3 linked regions of the Kluyveromyces lactis genome follow. The protein of the gene in region 1 interacts with the protein of each later gene in a pairwise test. Links are inferred from orthologs where the notes say so. Each region holds a gene or a part of one and is shown on either strand. Other genes may lie near its edges. The genes, in order: RPN12, RPN8 and RPT3.

Region 1 (2,294 bases):
TAAGGTTAAGGGTGCTGATGAACATGATTTGATCCCATTAGAAATTTCAACATGGTTGTCTCCATCTTCAGAAACGGATAATGCCATTGATGTTACTTTTGAATATGAAGTCAACAGTGATTACGAAGGAACTATCGATGAATTACGCTTCTTGATTCCTGTCTTCACCGATACTGTATTCATCAAAGATGATCTAAACGAGGCTAATGCAATCGTAGAGGCCATTGACGAGTCCCAAGGTATTATCATTAAGGTGGACCCAATTGAATCCGGTCAGTCAAGCGTATTCAGTGTTACTGTCCAAGCTGCTTATGAAGATGCGTTATTCCCTATCGAAGTTGCTTTAAAGAACAGCAATGCCAAACCATTGTCTAACCTAAATATTGCTTCTGTTGTATCTGCCGCAGATGACACTGAACTACCATTCGACACCGTATCTACCTTGAAGAGTGAACAATATGTCGTAGTGTAATTGCACTTTGCAGTATTAAACAGCAGCATGTGTCTCTAGCAGAAAATACTGCTACTATATAAGTAATCCTATACATGTTTGTGTATTTTTAAGAAGTAATGTACAGTGAACTCCACCAAAAGTAATAAAAAAAGCCGAAAACTGAAGAAAAAATGGTAATCTGATCCGTATGCAATTGATTAGATATGGCCTGTTAATACCTATTGCAATACGATCGGCGCATCTTGTGTCCTATCTTACCCATTGCCTGCTTTCATTTGTTCAAAGTTCCTATAAATCTACTACTATGTAATGAGAAATTCAAGATTCAGTGAAATTGAAAATATCAACATTAACTTAACTCAGACCTTGCATGAATATGTTTTGCCACCGAAATAAAGGGACAGAGATAGACAGCAACCAAGATGCCATCGTTACCAGAGCTAACCAAGGGGTTGAAGACTGCCTTTGAGGGCAAACAATATGAAACATGTTTGAGATTACTACTTCCTATCAAGATTGAATTGATTAAAGCAAAATTGTTAATACCTGATATCAAAAGCGCTAAGGAAAATCAAAGCTATCTACAGGATCTGAATATAGCAAAGAAGATACTTGAGATAGGAGCACTTTCAAGCATATACTGTGAGGATTTTGAAACTTTCATGAACTATTACTCACAGTTAAGCGCATTCTACTTTTCTGATGTGAAAGAATTGAGTGATTCAGATAGCAAGTTCAAGTTGATAAGTTTGTACTTATTAATCTTGCTAGCACAAAACGATTACACTAAACTTCACTCAGAATTTGAGTTTTTGAGCAGATACGTTACGAATTTGGAAGAGAGTTCGTACCTCTCTTATCCAGTAAAGTTGGAAAGACTTTTGATGGAAGGTTCTTATCAAAAGGCTTGGGATCTGTTACAAACAGGTTCTAAGGTTGAAGAGTTCAATGTTTTCACAAAGACTTTGAAAGAGGCTATAAGAGAGGAAATTGCTTTGAATTCTGAACAAGCATATAGCTCCTTACCATTGTTCAACGCTAAGACTCTACTATTCTTCGAGAATGAAAAGGAGATGGAGGCGTTCGCTAAAGAACGTGACTGGAGCGTCAACCATGGCGTTATCACATTTGGAAATGATTCAACTCCAGACAGGATAGAGAGTGGGGATACCGTGGATATGGCTATTGACTATGCTGTTCATTTAGAAAGTATTGTATAGGTAATATCATAAAAATATACACTTCAAGCTTGAATAGTTTTAAAATAACTAGTGCCATATTATCCAAACTGGACATAAGCATAACTAATATTATTAAGATTTAAATTTGAAATATATTCATATTTGTACATTAACACATAAGTTAGTTTACATTTGCGAAGAACAATCTGTTCCGGCCTACATATATAGAAAAATGATGTTTATATGTCTCTATGTCGATGTTGGAAAGCCAGAATGGTCAAAGCTTGTTAACTAATGATATCATGAATTGGATTGATCTAATAACTTCATAACAGAGAAAAAAAATATAATAGCAAATCTTTAGATTAATTCCTCATAATGGATTGTATGAGGGAAATCATCCTCTATCTTCTATTCTATTCGCCTTTAATACCAACAGACTTACCGGCAGCCAATCTCTTTTGAGTCAAACAAGCAATGATAGCAGCACCAACACCGGAACCATCTTCAGCAGCCACCAATTGGATTGGGTGGTCTTCCATCTTTTCGACATCCCAGTTGTAGATATCCTTCAAGGCTTGAGCGGCCTTTTCCTTGTAACCTGGGTATCTGTTGAAGACAGAACCATCAGCTGCAATGTGAGCAGTCTTGTAGCCTCT
Region 2 (2,623 bases), on another chromosome or scaffold:
TTCGTTTTTACCTGCCAAAAGATTCGCAGTAAACTCTATTGGGGCCGTATTGATGTGAACCTGGTTTTGCTCGGAGTTATTGTTTCCAGATCCAGCTCTAAACGCGAACCGTCTGTGCTGAATCAAACTAAACCCACGCCCCGATATTAAAATACTGGATAAGTTGGGGTTCAATGCCCTCATAAGTAGAGGCTGGATTACCAGTGACATACTCAATCTTCAACTAGCAGTTGATGGAATATATTATCTTGGTTAACTGGGCCTCGGTCTGGTAAATACACTGTTGTCTCAGAATGGTTTTTACCTTCAAAATTGTGCGCAATGAACAATTTCCTCGATCTTTAATCTTCATAAAATTTTCTTATATGAAGAGATGCGAATTTGATATATTAGAAGGAATCAATCTGAAGAGGTTGACGAGAACTAACGAACCGGTACCGGAGATCCATTTAATTCATTGATCAGTTCCATATCGATGCCAATGGTGCTGATCTTAGATATAGACATACATACTGCTTCATTTAAATTCTCATTAAATTTTTAGGAAATATGGCGTAGTTGTAACTTAGTATACAGAAAATACTATATTTGATTATTTTCGTTTCGGTTTATTAAAAGAGTTGCATCAGTTCTTAGTAGGTACCGAATTCGACTCAGCAGGGATGCCGTCATTAGTGGCATCCTCCTTTTGTTCTACTTCAACTTTCGAATGCTTTTCAAGAAGTTTCTTATTTTGAATTTTGTTCTCAATCAAGTTATCAAATGCAACTATGGCTCTGACCAGATTACTTATGTAAATGATCATTAGTTCGTCATTGGTTTTAACTGTGAGGGCTTTTTCCAAATTGTTGGTAACATTGTCTAAGACATGACTTGAGCCGATCATTTCATCTTTATCTGGGGTTCCGAGGTTTGGAAGAAGATTGAAAATGTCTTGCAATTTTCCTAAAATTATGTGGTTCACAGGTAACTCGTTGTTTGCCACTTTTTCCAAGTATGCTACTATGTCTTTCAATTTTCTTTGCAAGCCCCTAAGAGAATTTAATTGATTAGTTAGCTTTATAGATAAACCAGCTGCAGCTTGATCACGGACATCTTTGAGTAGATGTTCAACACCAATTTCTTCCGCCTCGTCTGCTTCCACAGTGCTTGGGATATGTATAAAGGTCCGCTCAGTCGAAGTACCATCATCCTTGATCTGTTCCACAGCCACATATGCGTTCGTTGGTAGTCCGATATCCTCTTGTTTCACATCGAGTATCAACAACACGGGATTATTGTTGGTACTGTACTTCTTGAACAACTCGTTAATCTTTAAATCAGAAGCCCTTAATTTCCCACCACTGTGATACCAACCAATTAGCTTCTCTTTCGCATTGATCTTTTTACACATCTCGTTCATGGTCTCGATGTAGTTGTGATCTAGGAACCAAACGTCTGGATTCTTCTCGTCTTCTTCGAACGGCAACGCAAACGAATTAGTTATCCTCACGGTTGCCGTGGAACTATCACCTAGAATGACACCTAAACATCTCTTGTTCTCCGGAGTATTTGTACGCTGATGATGGTCTAATACGGAAAGTAACACCAATGGTGCAACTGAAACTTGTTCGTAAGGTACAGACATTATCAATTGGTTGTTGCCAAGCTGTTTCCAATTTATAGTTTGATTTCTATTCTCTTAGCTTATCAGAAATGCAGATTGACTAAGCACTTTTTTTGACTCTCTTTTATAAGTAAACCCCAAAACGCTAGATTGGTCACGGTAATTCAATTAGTACAATCTCAAAGTATTATCACAGTTTCGCTTTCAGGAGTGTATAGATCTTCAAGTGCCCCATTATTTCAGGTATTTTTGTCAAATTAATATTTGCCACTAATGTTCTTAATGCTATTTCATTTTTTTTATTTTCAAATCTCGAAATATTAGGAACTGCGAAGCGAACATAATTCAATGCTTAATATTAAAAAGATTCTGTGCAATGAGATGAGATGAAAGGACATGTTTATACGGTTAGGGAGGAGACAAGACGGCTTACGGTTTGTACGAAGACCTTGGGTATACTCTAGAAAATAAATATAAAGATGCCATTTGGCCAAATTGTGATTGGACCTCCAGGGTCTGGTAAATCAACGTACTGTCATGGTTGTTCCCAGTTTTTCAATGCAATCGGAAGACATGTTCAAGTGATAAATATGGATCCAGCCAACCATCGGCTCCCGTATCCGTGTTCGGTCGATATTAGAGACTATATCACGCTAGAAGAGATTATGTCAGAACAGCATTTGGGTCCGAATGGTGGGTTAATGTATGCGATAGAGTCTTTAAATGAGTCGATCGATTTGTTCATATTGCAGATCAAATCGTTAGTACAAGAGGAGAAAGCATACCTAGTCTTTGACTGTCCCGGGCAAGTCGAATTATTCACACACAATTCGGCGTTGTTCAAGATTTTCAAACGACTAGAGAAGGATTTGGATATCAGGCTATGTGTTGTGAATTTGATCGATTGTATTTACATTACTTCTCCCTCGCAGTACGTTTCGATCCTTCTACTTGCACTAAGATCGATGCTAATGATGGATCTTCCACACATCAATGTCTTCTCAAAGATCGATATGC
Region 3 (2,817 bases), on another chromosome or scaffold:
ACCGGTTCTACCATTACTTTGTGCATCGATGAACCTTGACAATTTCGATACTTTCTTTCAAGCAGAAACCATCATAACTTCATGGCTCGTCTTTAATATTGTCATGGGATTGATAATGGGAGTATTCCATCAAGCAGGAATAATACCTCTCATATCCTACTTCTCAGGTGAAGAATTCCCTGTTCATATTTGGTGGAAGACATATTCTCCTCCGACGTGGATGTATTCCAATCCTGATCTGACGGTTTCTACCACGAACTTTAAGGAAAATGTAGAGTTTGTCGATAATATACCTTGGCATGTTGTATCAAATCATGTTGTTGATTTAAAAGGTAGTGACATTGAGTTACTAAATAAAACTCTTACAAAATTTTCGGAGAACACAGACTCAATTCAGCTAATCATGCCAAATACTGTTCTCGATAAATTGACCCCCCTTCAGTCGCAATGGAAGTTCATCACAGAATGGGAGACGCAGCAGCATCTCGATTTAGATCACATTGATATGCCAGACTGGACTACCATAAAGCCAGGATTAAGGCTATACAACGTAAGTCTAATAGTTTGAAATATTACTGGCTTATTTTCTATTAGGAATACTTTCCAATATACACTGCATTTACCGATATGTATTGAGTCAAACACAATTAAATTAAATTATTTATAGAAGTCGAATTTATCAACATCGCTACCTGACTTGACTTGTGAAGCATACGCTTCCTCCAAATCGCTTTGTAGGATGACGTATCTGTTCTTTCTGACAGCTCTTAGACCAGCTTCTTGCATAATGGCGGCAATCAAAGCACCAGATAAAGGATCATTTCTGATGATCAAAGAATCTAAATCTGCTTCAGGAGCTAAAGACATCTTTGCAGCTATAGTACCAAAAATTAAACGACGTTCACGCCTGTCCCTTAATGAAGGGAATTCGATCTTTCTGTCTAATCTACCAGGTCTTAACAAAGCTGGATCTAGAGTATCAGCACGATTGGTTGCCATTATAACTTTAACATTTGTTGACTGATCAAAACCATCCATTTGAGTAAGTAACTCAATCAATATACGTTGGACTTCACGATCAGACCCTGTCTGAGCATCGAAACGTTTTGTAGCGATGGAATCCACTTCATCGATGAAAATAATTGATGGTGAGTTTTCTCTTGCCAATCTGAAAACATCTCTAACCATTCTTGGCCCTTCACCTAAGTATTTATGCACAAACTCTGACCCGTTCACTCTGATGAATGCGGCTTCTGTCGCGTTTGCCACGGCCTTAACTAACATAGTTTTGCCAGTACCAGGAGGACCATAAAGTAAAACCCCTCTTGGTGGGTCAATACCAATCTGTTGATACAAATCCGCCTGTACCAAGGGTAGTTCAACAGCTTCTCTTATTTCTTGCTTCTGCATGTCTAACCCACCAACATCGGCATAGGTGACATCTGGCTTTTCATTTGCGGCCATGATTGATATGCTAGAATCTGAATCAGGTGGTAAAATATCCACAAGGGCATTAGAGTGACGATGTAATGCAACTGAAGTTGATGGTTTTAACAGTTCCCTATCTAGAGTCGATAGAATCCTTACGACATAACTCATACCTGTGGTCGAGGAGACGATACCGGTGTTTTCGTCAATCGGTTCCAAAAATTGACCAATGACAAGTGGCACAGATTGGATTCTTTTCACTTCCTCTTGGGCTCTGAGTAATTCCCTCTTCAAATGGCGCTGTTCATCTTTGATATAATCTTCTTGTAATGTCAATAATTCATATTCTTTCTCCAGCTTCTTTAGTTTCAAGTAGACATCTGAATTACCATTCGCCACGGCAAATGAATCATTATTTAGCTGAGCAAGTAGGGAACCATATGATAGACCATTATTCTTTGCACCAAATTCTACACTAAGAACAGGTTGAGGAGTACTAATACCTAGTTCTTCCATAATGTTTTGATCTTAATTCGTCTTTCCCGTAGTGTGTAAATATTCTAACTCCCTTTAGACTATGATCAAATAAAGACGAAAGTATCCGAAAACACAGAAAAGTTCCAATAATATACTGCAATTCCAATAAACTAAGGGGTCAGTCTTACTACTTACACGGATATATGTGTTTGTACCTACATATATTTATAAACGTATCCCCTTCCACACTAAAGTGGTTATGTCAAATCGTTCAGTTTAATAATTGCATTATTTCATTAAAAAGTTAAATCTCATTTTGGGTATTTTGCCACCCATTTTGCAGTCACGTGATCTCGGTTCTTAGACAACTTTTTCGAAGGGCCTACACTGTTTAGAATGTTAACATGATAGGCTACCCACTACGTATATCAATGCACCTGTGTATACTCAAATGCAGTGTCCTAATAGTATACCTAATGATAAAAGTAGTGTGGAGTACGAGTAGAAACAACTCTTGGTGAAAGTGACGGTTGTCTCCGGTAAAAGAGTTACCAACTTATTATAGTATATTGTCCACTGTAAAGAACACCATATCTTAAAGTCAGCAACTATATTTGAAAATGTGAGGATTTTGGGAACTTCCTCCTGATGGGGTTTTGTTTGAGTTTCTTGAAGTTTTTTATCCATCAAATTGTCTATGGTATTTGACATTTCTGAAATTGCCAAGTTTTGTTCCTTTTGATGATCATCAAGCGCCATTTTTACCTTATCTTCGAAAGAACCGACTAACCTCCTTCTCTTCCAAGGTTCTAGCAGTAATTGAAATATTACGAAGAAGAGTATATTTACTCCCATCAAAATAAATGTACCCCATGTCGAAGTTCTTCTGATCTTATCTGACCAGATTTGTTC

Evidence for each region.
Region 2: the proteins of RPN12 (region 1) and RPN8 interact in binary tests that used the Saccharomyces cerevisiae proteins (3 or more experiments, as listed by UniProt). The link is inferred for Kluyveromyces lactis from reciprocal best matches to the Saccharomyces cerevisiae genes RPN12 and RPN8.
Region 3: the proteins of RPN12 (region 1) and RPT3 interact in binary tests that used the Saccharomyces cerevisiae proteins (3 or more experiments, as listed by UniProt). The link is inferred for Kluyveromyces lactis from reciprocal best matches to the Saccharomyces cerevisiae genes RPN12 and RPT3.

The regions. Positions count from the first base shown.
Region 1 is NC_006040.1:974,586-976,879, reverse strand, and holds RPN12 (proteasome regulatory particle lid subunit RPN12), read left to right. Parts: upstream 1-876; coding exon 877-1,674; downstream 1,675-2,294. Other genes in the region: RET2 (coatomer subunit delta), read left to right, coding at 1-472; KLLA0_D11352g (hexokinase), read right to left, coding at 2,052-2,294. UniProt on the Saccharomyces cerevisiae protein: Acts as a regulatory subunit of the 26S proteasome which is involved in the ATP-dependent degradation of ubiquitinated proteins. Necessary for activation of the CDC28 kinase.
Region 2 is NC_006039.1:827,113-829,735, reverse strand, and holds RPN8 (proteasome regulatory particle lid subunit RPN8), read right to left. Parts: upstream 1,628-2,623; coding exon 626-1,627; downstream 1-625. Other genes in the region: COX10 (protoheme IX farnesyltransferase), read right to left, coding at 1-210; GTPase GPN2, read left to right, coding at 2,086-2,623. UniProt on the Saccharomyces cerevisiae protein: Acts as a regulatory subunit of the 26S proteasome which is involved in the ATP-dependent degradation of ubiquitinated proteins.
Region 3 is NC_006039.1:571,346-574,162, reverse strand, and holds RPT3 (proteasome regulatory particle base subunit RPT3), read right to left. Parts: upstream 1,945-2,817; coding exon 658-1,944; downstream 1-657. Other genes in the region: SMP3 (glycosylphosphatidylinositol-alpha 1,2 mannosyltransferase), read left to right, coding at 1-568; SHE9 (She9p), read right to left, coding at 2,353-2,817. UniProt on the Saccharomyces cerevisiae protein: The 26S proteasome is involved in the ATP-dependent degradation of ubiquitinated proteins. The regulatory (or ATPase) complex confers ATP dependency and substrate specificity to the 26S complex.